Arabidopsis thaliana: one gene and its partners. The protein of the gene in region 1 interacts with the protein of each later gene in a biochemical or structural test. Each region holds a gene or a part of one and is shown in the gene's direction. Other genes may lie near its edges.

The links.
Region 2: the proteins of HFR1 (region 1) and PIF4 form a complex in vitro, tested with the Arabidopsis thaliana proteins (one study listed by BioGRID).
Region 3: the proteins of HFR1 (region 1) and LAF1 form a complex in vitro, tested with the Arabidopsis thaliana proteins (one study listed by BioGRID).

What each region holds. Positions count from the first base shown.
Region 1 is NC_003070.9:465,082-469,665, reverse strand, and holds HFR1 (basic helix-loop-helix (bHLH) DNA-binding superfamily protein), read left to right. Parts: upstream 1-1,785; 5' UTR 1,786-1,980; coding exon 1,981-1,982; exon of another isoform or gene 1,983-2,113; coding exon 2,114-2,480; intron 2,481-2,579; coding exon 2,580-2,708; intron 2,709-2,868; coding exon 2,869-2,934; intron 2,935-3,418; coding exon 3,419-3,733; 3' UTR 3,734-4,050; downstream 4,051-4,584. UniProt on the Arabidopsis thaliana protein: Atypical bHLH transcription factor that regulates photomorphogenesis through modulation of phytochrome (e.g. PHYA) and cryptochrome signalings. Suppresses the transcriptional regulation activity of PIF4 by forming non-DNA-binding heterodimer.
Region 2 is NC_003071.7:17,885,016-17,889,600, forward strand, and holds PIF4 (phytochrome interacting factor 4), read left to right. Parts: upstream 1-1,782; 5' UTR 1,783-1,861; coding exon 1,862-2,052; intron 2,053-2,142; coding exon 2,143-2,797; intron 2,798-2,889; coding exon 2,890-2,970; intron 2,971-3,098; coding exon 3,099-3,164; intron 3,165-3,244; coding exon 3,245-3,562; coding exon of another isoform or gene 3,563-3,592; exon of another isoform or gene 3,593-3,700; coding exon 3,701-3,808; 3' UTR 3,809-4,072; downstream 4,073-4,585. UniProt on the Arabidopsis thaliana protein: Transcription factor acting negatively in the phytochrome B signaling pathway. May regulate the expression of a subset of genes involved in cell expansion by binding to the G-box motif.
Region 3 is NC_003075.7:13,050,783-13,054,255, forward strand, and holds LAF1 (myb domain protein 18), read left to right. Parts: upstream 1-1,720; 5' UTR 1,721-1,772; coding exon 1,773-1,899; intron 1,900-1,945; exon of another isoform or gene 1,946-1,986; coding exon 1,987-2,116; intron 2,117-2,196; coding exon 2,197-2,791; 3' UTR 2,792-2,960; downstream 2,961-3,473. Other genes in the region: AT4G25550 (Cleavage/polyadenylation specificity factor, 25kDa subunit), read left to right, coding at 20-91; ACYB-2 (Cytochrome b561/ferric reductase transmembrane protein family), read right to left, coding at 3,105-3,431. UniProt on the Arabidopsis thaliana protein: Transcription factor that promotes photomorphogenesis in the light by participating in the transmission of phytochrome A (phyA) signals to downstream responses. Probably acts by activating expression of light-induced genes.

The sequences.
Region 1 (4,584 bases):
GGCAAAAAAAGAAGAAGATAGATAGATCATAGATGCTGCATTTAATGTACAACAAAAATAAAAATCGTCAATCAACCACTAGATACACAAATAGTACTTCGTATAGTATATGATTCCAACCAAAACGGTGGGAACAAGAGAAAAATATTAAAATAAGAATCAATAATGCAAAGTTTTTCCATAATATCAAATAGATTGAACAGTGGGAAGTTGTAGATTGGAACGTATATTCCGAGAGGTCGTTGTCGTGAAGGAGATTGGAAACCTATGTAGTGGCTGTGGTTTTGCTTCGTCGCTCGCTAAGACACCAACAAAATATAAAGTACCCAAGTGTCAGACATAGCACCATGTCCATCACGAGGGCATCACGTGAACACGCCTTTTCTTCTTCCTCTCTCTCTCTCTTTTTCGATTTTTTTCAGGCCCATTTGATTCAACGCTACAAAGTTAACATTCATTAGTCAATTGAATAATAATAATTAGTATTTTTGTTCTACTAATTCGAAATTAGAATTTGATACTGTTTTTTTTTTTTTTTGATTGTTGATATTTAGTAACCAGGTCATTTTTGTTTATTCAGAATATGTTGTAATTATTGGAGTTTTTTTTAATTAAGGAAAATAGTGTGGACCTTTTTTATCAAAGATAGTAATAATGTGGACCATCGCACCTGCTCGGTGTATGGTTGATGATGACGTGACTCTAAAATTCCAATAAATGTGTCGTGGGGTTACAGAAAACAAAAAAAACTGATTCGTTATAGGATTGGTTTAGAGCCCACAACCCACGTGGGATTTTGGATAAAACCCTAAATGAATTCTTTTTTCAGGAATCCATAAATGGTCATGAAATGAAATGCATTCTCAGGCTGGAAATAATCGACCATTATATTATTGCACAAAAAAGTGAACTCTAGTATCATAACTCTGAAATTATTATGATTGCTGGTTACTGAATTTTGTAAGCCTTTCATAATAACGAATTTACCAATTGGGAGATCGAATAATCTTATCGTTGTTACAGACGATATTTTTTTGTCGATTATATTATGAAACTTGTGGTAGTCAACCTTTTTTTTTCCAAACGGAGACGTCATCTTTTTGTTTTTATATTTAGAGATGATCTGACCAAAAATAAACAAATAGACATCCGATATTTTACATTGTTTTATATATATATAAAGATAAAGCTTAATGACGAGTATTCAATGATAAACGATAAGATTACGGGAAAAATAATTAAACGGATAAAAATGGCCCTACCCGTTGTGCATTACAGTTCTTGGTTAAGAAATACTATTAAACTGTCTCTCAAATCTCAATATATAAATGAATACATTCTATACGTACAAAGATAAATTTATCTCTATGTTCATGTGTCAAAGTGGTAGTGAATCTAGTGACGTTATTGATTAATCAAGATTACTTTTATCTTTCTGTGCAAAATTTCAAGATTACTCTAAAGTCGATATATGCTACTATGACGTAGTTTTGGGACAATTACGTATAGAATCATAAAAACAATAAGCAGAATAATAATCCATTTAAGTACATTGTGAATTTGTGATAATGGAATTATTTGACAATACTTTTCCAAAATAAAAACTAATTTAATTACTGTATTAATTATTTTAGTAAAACAATATTTTCATTACAATGTTTGTTGTGAATCCAAAAAAGTATTGTTTCCAAAGAACTCAAATGACATCAATATGTCTATAATAACCTCGTGTAGCTGTATGTTAGAATCTAGCCGAATTGTTTTATTGTTGTCGGTGTACGCAACAAACGAACCACACATACTTTGAAACGTGGCACAATATAAGTGGGTCACCAATGTAGCTGACAACTATACCATCTATCTGATCCGATCGCTCTTATAACATAAGCGTATGGGATACCATTTTCTCGGACAAAGCTGAAATCCCTAAAGAAAAAACACTTCTCCAAACTTTTCATCTCCGATATCTCTTTAACTAACATGTAAGTATAATTAAACAGGAGGTTTCAGAGTTTAGGTTTCTTGCCTTGTTATTCTCTTTATTTATTTCTTTAATAATTTATCAATGATTTGTATCGTAAACCCTAATAGTTTACTACTTTTTTCTTGGCAGGTCGAATAATCAAGCTTTCATGGAATTGGGATGGAGAAACGACGTCGGATCACTTGCTGTGAAAGATCAGGGCATGATGTCAGAAAGAGCAAGAAGTGATGAAGATCGTCTAATCAACGGTCTAAAATGGGGCTACGGCTACTTTGATCATGATCAAACTGATAATTATCTTCAGATTGTTCCAGAGATTCATAAAGAAGTAGAAAATGCGAAGGAGGATTTATTGGTTGTTGTCCCTGATGAACATTCTGAAACTGATGATCATCATCATATTAAAGATTTTTCAGAGAGATCAGATCATCGATTTTATCTGAGAAACAAACATGAGAACCCCAAAAAACGTCGTATCCAGGTCTTAAGTAGTGATGTAAGTCGATACATAGATATATTTTCATGTTACCTTATGTATTATCATTTTTCACTGTTTTTAATTTTTTCTTTCTATAAATAAAATTAATTAATTTAGGATGAATCGGAGGAGTTTACAAGAGAAGTTCCTTCAGTTACTCGAAAAGGTTCCAAGAGAAGAAGAAGAGACGAGAAGATGAGTAATAAGATGCGTAAGCTACAGCAACTCGTACCTAATTGTCACAAGGTTGGTGTGTATATAGATCCTTCTATATAATGTTTCAATTTAACTATTGAGTGTCTAGTCTTTTCCGTATAAGTTTCCGCTACTTCCGTTGCATATATGAAGAAATCTTGCCTTAAGTTTCCAATTCTGATAACGGGTGGTGCTTTTTTACGGTTTTCAGACGGACAAGGTTTCGGTTCTCGACAAGACCATAGAGTATATGAAAAACCTTCAACTTCAACTTCAGGTCTATATTTAACTTTATTCACTATTTTTATTTCACACTTTATTCAGTGTTCTTCTTCCATATATTTGAATTATTGAGGCTTGAGGTTTTAAGTGTTTATCTAATAGTCTGAGTTTTTTTTTGGTTAATTTAACTAGTTGACATAAACTGTTCTTGGTATTCGATCTGACTCGCCAACTTATGAGATATGGATTATTGTTTTACAATATGGGTTTCAAATTGATCAAACAAATATAGCCACTTTTTGGTGTTTAGTGACGAAAAAAATGGAATGATATATAGTAGGCAGTAGATAACCTAGATGGTGAAGTCTATAGAATTTCTTTAATATTTCGAATTCATCTCTTTTCATGTGATTATTTAGTGCCAACTAAATGTTTTATATTTTATAGAACTATGTACCCATTTTGATCATTCGAATATGTATATGTGCTATTTATATTCAGAAACTAAGTTGTAATCAAAGTTGATGTTATAATTGCAGATGATGTCAACAGTGGGGGTGAATCCTTATTTTCTTCCGGCGACATTAGGATTTGGAATGCACAACCACATGCTGACGGCAATGGCTTCGGCTCACGGCCTAAATCCGGCGAATCACATGATGCCATCGCCGCTAATTCCGGCGTTAAATTGGCCATTACCACCGTTTACTAATATTTCATTCCCACATTCATCTAGTCAATCTCTATTTCTTACAACATCATCACCAGCTTCTTCTCCTCAGTCTCTTCACGGTTTGGTTCCTTATTTCCCAAGTTTCTTGGATTTTTCTTCCCATGCGATGAGAAGACTATGATAAGTAAGTAGCTCGATAAAAGTTTATGTGAAATGATCGTTGACTAATTAAGAGAGAAAAGAGTTCCAAATTAGGACAGTTTGTGTGAACCATTTGTGTCATATACTTTTTTTTCCGGGTGGTTTTGTATATTAATAATAATCAATAAGTTAAAACTTTTTGTATAAATTCTTGCATGTAACAATTTTTTCATTTATCTGATATTTTGTAAAATATATTGAGACATGCTTATAAGAGCATTGAACGTAGGAACAAGATTTCCCTGATTCTTAAGCGTCTCAAACGTTTACACTTGGTTACATGCATCCCAACTAGCTTTATCTTCAGCATCTCAAATTCAGGACCAGTGGGTCATACACTATGATAATGTTAATGTACAAAAAGTAACATTAACTTACCTCTGCACACTGCATGTTACTTAGAAGTTAGGATGTGGCTCTGCCAAATATAGGGCCGGATGTATGAGAAAAGATCAAAAGAAGAAATGAGGAAACTTGACTTCGAGAATTATTAATCACTTTCTTACACATCAATTATTGATTTGCGTTTTGTGTTTACACATCGCTTTTCCACAGTTGATATATTCATTTTTTTGTGGAAAATTCAAAATGTTTTCTGTTTTAAAGTTGTGACTTGTGAGTAATAATCTCTTTTCTTTTGTTTTCTGAGCTAGGTAAATACACACACAAGAAATATTACGTCCGAAACTCGAGACACAATTCATATTTATATATAAAAAAAGAAAAATTCTACACGCACAGACACAGGCGCACACTTATATACGTATTATTTTACAAATACATATCCTTTTGTCTCAATAAGGCTTGGCTTTAGTGAAAAACAATGTCAGA
Region 2 (4,585 bases), on another chromosome or scaffold:
TATTATTTTTAGACAGTAAGGCCCAATAGTATTTTATTGTTACTGTCTGCGCTGAAACAATTTATGTTTTTCAGCAAAGTAATATCTTACTAATCAGTAATTACATACACCGTAACACCATCACGAATTTTCAGTACACGACAGAGTATAGGTATGATTGACTGACAACAATATAAAAAGGCTAAATTAGTTAGACTGTCTTATTAATTAAAAAGTAATATTGTACTATTACTATACTACTTCACTTAAATATTTATTCGACACACAAAAATAAACCATTCGTGTGAATGTTTCCCAAACACATTTGGGGCCGAAGCATTCGAGCGGGCGTACCACTCCAATTACCTGGTACACATAATTGAAGACTATAGTATGAAAATTAATGTTTTATGTTTTTGTCACCTAAATTTTTAATAAAATGCAGTTGCAGTTTGGTTGTCATTGTTCTGTTGATCCGTTCATTCCGCGTCCTGTATTTGGCTATCACAATTTCAATCTATGAAAATTTGAAATCCGTATGGTCAAAATTATATTTTAAAACCACATTGCTAGAGAATAATTAAAAAAATAATAATCTTCATGTGGAATTTATAGAAATTAATGATATACATTTCAGGAAAACTTAGCATGAAGTATATTATTTTAATGTGATGATTTTAGAAATACAAACCGAGACGCGGTATGGGATATGGTCCATTACAAGTAGGCACAATGGTCCACTAATAATTGTTATTACGACAACAGAATTAATTGCCTATTTAAAACGAAATGAATCATCGAAGAACATACTAGATCTTTTTCCAATTTACAACCAAAAAAAACATTATTAGGTGAGTAGTAAAAAGATTAAGGTTATCAGAAACTAACTGTAGTAGTATGTTGTGTGAAATTCTTTTGTATTTCTTATTAAGCCAAGGGTGCCCTTTCAATGCAACGTGATAAACGCCAAAAACGATGATATGAACAATTATAAACTCGTTGAGAGCATTGAACTCGGATAATAAATCATCTTTTATATACATCGTAGATAACAAACAAACACGTAATTAAATTTGACGTATAGCAAAAGACTTGAAGAATAAAACGTCAAGTTAAAGATAATTTTGGTATATATGAGAAAGGTATCGACAAAAACCATAACGCTATAGATGATTGTGATTTGACAAAAACACCCTCAAATCATTGTTTTCAGAGTTTTTTTAGATAAGGTACAGATAAGAAACCACCTCTAAAAATCAAGCAATAGATCTCATCGCTTAAAAGAAGAGAGAGATCTTCACTTGTATGTGTCCCACTGATTCCAACACAATGTCCCAGAACTTGCCACGTGTCGTTCATTTCAAAAGATTGCAGTACTGTTGTCCCTAGAGAATCATTATCTCCCTCGCTGTAATATCTTTATGCTCCTGTCACTTTCTGTCTGTACCCAAAAGAAGTAATGAACCTCTCTCATCTTCTTCTTCTCTGTTTCTTTCATGTTTTGTGAGTTGTTTCTCAACAATTTTCTGGTCTCTTAGAGTGAGAGGAGAGAGATAGAGAGTTGTGTTGGGCGTGGAACTTGGACTAGTTCCACATATCAGGTTATATAGATCTTCTCTTTCAACTTCTGATTCGTCCAGAAGCTTTCCTAATCTGGTCAGTAGTACTCTTTTTATACGGGTTTTTGGTTTTATAAGATGTGGCTATATTTGGAAATAACTATTTTGCAAGCTTTCCTAGATTGCCAGAATATAAAAAAAGATGTTTAACAAGAGAACGGACTCATGGACTTGCTTTAAATTTTAATTATTTTAAAATCATTCTATAATGATTAGAGTAAATAAACTATTAGGACTCTGAATTATAAAATTCGATTTTATATATGCTCCTCCTTGTATCTCTTAATCATAAGTTATCATTAGCTCTGTTCACTAGTGCTATAAAATATATTCTGAGGTTAATAAAACTTTTTTTTCTTTTTATTTTGAAATGTCTCCAGAGATCTGACATGGAACACCAAGGTTGGAGTTTTGAGGAGAATTATAGTTTGTCCACTAATAGAAGATCTATCAGGTATTATTTAATAATCTTTGATCTAATGTTTTCATTCATTAAAAAAAAAACTTTATAATATAGTCTGTGTGTGTGTGTATTGATGTCTAGGCCACAAGATGAACTAGTGGAGTTATTATGGCGAGATGGACAAGTGGTTCTGCAGAGCCAAACTCATAGAGAACAAACCCAAACCCAGAAACAAGATCATCATGAAGAAGCCCTAAGATCCAGCACCTTTCTTGAAGATCAAGAAACTGTCTCTTGGATCCAATACCCTCCAGATGAAGACCCATTCGAACCCGACGACTTCTCCTCCCACTTCTTCTCAACCATGGATCCCCTCCAGAGACCAACCTCAGAGACGGTTAAGCCTAAGTCCAGTCCTGAACCTCCTCAAGTCATGGTTAAGCCTAAGGCCTGTCCTGACCCTCCTCCTCAAGTCATGCCTCCTCCAAAATTTAGGTTAACAAATTCATCATCGGGGATTAGGGAAACAGAAATGGAACAGTACTCGGTAACGACCGTTGGACCTAGCCATTGCGGAAGCAACCCATCACAGAACGATCTCGATGTCTCAATGAGTCATGATCGAAGCAAAAACATAGAAGAAAAGCTTAATCCGAACGCAAGTTCCTCATCAGGTGGCTCCTCTGGTTGCAGCTTTGGCAAAGATATCAAAGAAATGGCTAGTGGAAGATGCATCACAACCGACCGTAAGAGAAAACGTATAAATCACACTGACGAATCTGTATCTCTATCAGATGTATGCTTCCTTTAATTCTAACTCATGATAATTACTTCTTGAAAACGTAATCTTGGTCTATCTCAGAGAGTAATACATAATACATTTTGCAGGCAATCGGTAACAAGTCGAACCAACGATCAGGATCAAACCGAAGGAGTCGAGCAGCTGAAGTTCATAATCTCTCCGAAAGGGTACTTCATCGGTTCGTCTATATAATATATAATATATAGTTTAATGTTAGAGAATCGTATAACATTTATACAAAGAAAACAGATACAAAACTCTGTTTTTTATTTTCTTCTTTTCATAACTTAAATAGAGGAGGAGAGATAGGATCAATGAGAGAATGAAGGCTTTGCAAGAACTAATACCTCACTGCAGTAAAGTGAGTTGATACAAATCAAATCTAAAAGTGAATCAGATTAAGAAATGAAGATTGATTCATTCATTGGTGTGTTTTTGCAGACTGATAAAGCTTCGATTTTAGACGAAGCCATAGATTATTTGAAATCACTTCAGTTACAGCTTCAAGTGATGTGGATGGGGAGTGGAATGGCGGCGGCGGCGGCTTCGGCTCCGATGATGTTCCCCGGAGTTCAACCTCAGCAGTTCATACGTCAGATACAGAGCCCGGTACAGTTACCTCGATTTCCGGTTATGGATCAGTCTGCAATTCAGAACAATCCCGGTTTAGTTTGCCAAAACCCGGTACAAAACCAGATCATCTCCGACCGGTTTGCTAGATACATCGGTGGGTTCCCACACATGCAGGCCGCGACTCAGGTAAGGCCAATACGAAGCCGTGTTTATTAAACGACGATTTTGGTAAAATGTTTTTTGGGTTTACTACATTAATACGAGATAAGAAAAAATGTTAAACCGACGTAGTTTTAGTTGACACGTTGTGTGGTTTTTTATTAGATGCAGCCGATGGAGATGTTGAGATTTAGTTCACCGGCGGGACAGCAAAGTCAACAACCGTCGTCTGTGCCGACGAAGACCACCGACGGTTCTCGTTTGGACCACTAGGTTGGTGAGCCACTTTTTTACTTCCTTATTTTTGGTATGTTTCTTTTTTATATCTATCTTTCTGAACATACTTAAAACGTTCAAGGATGTATTATTATAGAGTAAACGTGCAACTTCATTACGTTATTTTCTGTATATGTGAGTTTATGTATGTCAAAATGACATGATGAGATTTTTTGTAAACAACATCTTAAAAACAGGACATGTGATTTTTGTAATCGTAAAAACTTTGGGATGCAGTTTATTTTCTAATCAAAACAAGGATATATCTAAGTAATCGAAATTTTTTTCGAAAATAGAACTAGATGACACTTATAGATTATAGATCACACCTAATTTTGAAGATGTATCTAAAAGTCCATTCAATTTTTCTCTGTTCCCCTAATAAGAAATCATATGTTCATATTCAAAAAATAAGAAACACAAAAAAAAACTTTAAGAAAAACACAGATGATCAACCGTCTGGCTAGAGTTTGGTAAAATATTAATATCTTATGATTTCATATTGTTCCATAAATAAATAAAAAATCATAACATAAGCTTTTCTTGCTGATTGTCTAAAATTATGTATAGATGGAAAAAGCCAAATCACATGTGATGGAGCCAGATTTGAGTGAGAGTCATGTGTCAATTGTCAAAAACATCGACATTATAAGTCTTTAAGCCATGTGCATACTGGTCAGAATCTATTTAGCAATAATTGAGTTAAATATCTTAGATATTTTTGCATACTGTTTTCATATATAAATTTATTCCAAAGTTTGAAATAGTCGATCG
Region 3 (3,473 bases), on another chromosome or scaffold:
TATTATTTTCTTGAAACAGAGATATGGACCGGTTATATCAACCATTCCGCAGCAGCTATCCAGATTCCATTTCAACATGATTAGTTCGTGATTTCGACTCGGTGTGTTCAAGAACAAGGAACCTATCAGATGGGTAAGTTACTTAGGTACGGTAGAGAGCTGTAGCTACCGGATTAGAGATGGGGTTTTCCAATGATGCGAGTTGGGTTTTTTGCATTATAGACTTGTTGGCTTTTATGTAGAACCGGTTCAAAGTGTCAGCACAAAAAACAAAGATTATTGTATCTCATTTTTAAAAGCATTTGTCATTGTTTGACTAACGCCTGTCTTCTCTAACCGTAAAACATGTGTTTCATTCAATGTTGAATGATGTTTTTATTTTGGTGCATAAAACTAAGCCATGTTTAACCTTCTTTGTCAACATATTTCATAAAGTTTTATCAACATACCACAAGGCCTAATGGTCGAAGGAGGAGAAGTTTTGTTGTAGACGAACAATCTAAAGTATCCTAGTTATCATAACATTAGATGTATAAAATTTATTCTCCGAGGGCTAAGGATTAAGTCATCATAACATTAGATGTATAAAATTTATTAGTCGTGTTTCATTGGGGATTAGTTTGACGGCAAATTATATTATGTTATCAAGACGACCAAGACAAGGTAGACACTTTTTTATTGTTTCCCTCTCAATTTTCTTTACTCGTCATTTTCCACAGGCCAAAAGAGCCAACAAGTAAAAAACAAAATCAGAGTATTTTTAAAATTGGGACAGGCCATTTCGATCGGGACAGAAGGAATTCAAATTGTTGAAATTCACAATATTCCTCAAATAACTCTTATTATTGGTCCACTTGTCAGTGTGAATGTAAGAAAAACATCGTGAGAGGAAAAAATATGAAATAATTACTAGCAGCAAATAGGAGCTCAATGTTGACTTCACTACAAAATTTTATAATTAAGAGAAAAAGAGCTCTCAAATCATATAATAATTATTTCAAGTACTTGTATTAGCAAATGCAATTTGTCTGCTTGCTAATGATGCTTTACGAAAAGATTAACAGATTGGATGATTCTCTATAATCATTACTTCATTATTCACAATCATTGGATTGAATCAGACAGATTATTCCACCCGGATGATCGTTTCTAACCAAAAAACTCATTGACGCGATTTAAACATAAATTAAAGAAGTCGTTAATATAAAATTCTTGCCGACATTTTAGAGATTTTTGGATATGAAGATGTTATCTGATTAGTGTGTAAATTCTTAAGGCATCGTCCATTATAAATGAAGTAAATATAAGGAAAACAAACAATAAGAAAACAAAGTGAAAGAACAAAAACAAGCAAAGATTCTTCTTTTTTTTTTTTTTTATAGGTAGGAATCTCAAATCTTATATATACTGAAAATTGCTAATTTATTTTAAGTTGGAACATTATATCAATAATTTAAATTTATCCAAGCAGACTTTTGACACCTAATTAATCCTTACATATTCCATTATGACTTTTCTCCTCACTGCTTATACAAATGCATACAGTATACTCATAAGAAATTAACACATAAATTATATCCCAAATTTTCATAAAAATAGAAATATATATGTCATTTGTCATTTACTCTAAGCAGGCCCATTTGGTCATTTCTTAACACCAAGTATGTAGGCTCTATCTGTGGACGTTTGGTGATATATATGTTGTCTCAATCACCATATATAGTATTGAGACATGTTTTCTTGTATCAGGACAGACAGCTGACTAAAGAGAAATGGCGAAGACGAAATATGGAGAGAGACATAGGAAAGGGTTATGGTCACCTGAAGAAGACGAGAAGCTAAGGAGCTTCATCCTCTCTTATGGCCATTCTTGCTGGACCACTGTTCCCATCAAAGCTGGTCTCTCTTTCATCTTCTTCTTTATTAGTTTTTAGTTTCTCAAACTGAGTCAACTTTGATAATTGTTGTTGGGATTTAATTTGATAGGGTTACAAAGGAATGGGAAGAGCTGCAGATTAAGATGGATTAATTACCTAAGACCAGGGTTAAAGAGGGATATGATTAGTGCAGAAGAAGAAGAGACTATCTTGACGTTTCATTCTTCCTTGGGTAACAAGTAAGTGTATCTCTAAGACCTAACCCTATTGTTTTAGCAGATGCTAGTTATAGAGAGACTAATGATTTAGGTGTAATTAGGTGGTCGCAAATAGCTAAATTCTTACCGGGAAGAACAGACAATGAGATAAAGAACTATTGGCACTCTCATTTGAAAAAGAAATGGCTCAAGTCTCAGAGCTTACAAGATGCAAAATCTATTTCCCCTCCTTCGTCTTCATCATCATCACTTGTTGCTTGTGGAAAAAGAAATCCGGAAACCTTGATCTCGAATCACGTGTTCTCCTTCCAGAGACTTCTAGAGAACAAATCTTCATCTCCCTCACAAGAAAGCAACGGAAATAACAGCCATCAATGTTCTTCTGCTCCTGAGATTCCAAGGCTTTTCTTCTCTGAATGGCTTTCTTCTTCATATCCCCACACCGATTATTCCTCTGAGTTTACCGACTCTAAGCACAGTCAAGCTCCAAATGTCGAAGAGACTCTCTCAGCTTATGAAGAAATGGGTGATGTTGATCAGTTCCATTACAACGAAATGATGATCAACAACAGCAACTGGACTCTTAACGACATTGTGTTTGGTTCCAAATGTAAGAAGCAGGAGCATCATATTTATAGAGAGGCTTCAGATTGTAATTCTTCTGCTGAATTCTTTTCTCCATCAACAACGACGTAAATTGCGTTTATTGTAATGTAAATCAAATTTCTAAGGCAAAACCGGAAAAAAAATGTTTTGTTTTTTGTTTTGTCTTAAATGCTTTGACACCAATAAGGCAAATAGCATATATGGTTAAAGGAATGGCAATATGAAAGAAAAGAAAAGAAAAGAAAATGATTTAAAAGATTCATCAATATCATTGAAGATTTTACACACCAGAAGTAGCAAAGCCGTAACACACAAAGCTTTTCGCTACAAATGCATCATACATAAATGGAGTTTTGAGAGTACAAGGGGCGATACAGATGTAACGTGGAATGTAGAAAGTGTTTTATATAGCAGAATAACTGAAGTCAACACTATCATCATTGGAGACGGAAGGAGAAGGAGAAGGAGACTCAGCAGAAGCAGTGAGTACCACAAAGGCACCAAAGAGAATAGTGATAATGGCCGTGAAGTTGATAAGAAATGCTTCGGATCCATACTTGTCAAGCCCTCCATTCTCCAAGAAAGTCAGCTTTTCCAGAAACCCTAAAGCTGCATTCCCGACAGCAAGTATGTAAACAAACAGGCCAAGCATTGCGTGCCACGGAAGCAATCCGCTTTTCAAATTTGTTGATCCTCCTGGGAAGAAGAACACTATGAAGCTGTACACCCACTGTAAAGTTCAAAACTCTTGTTCTGGTCAGGAACAATATAC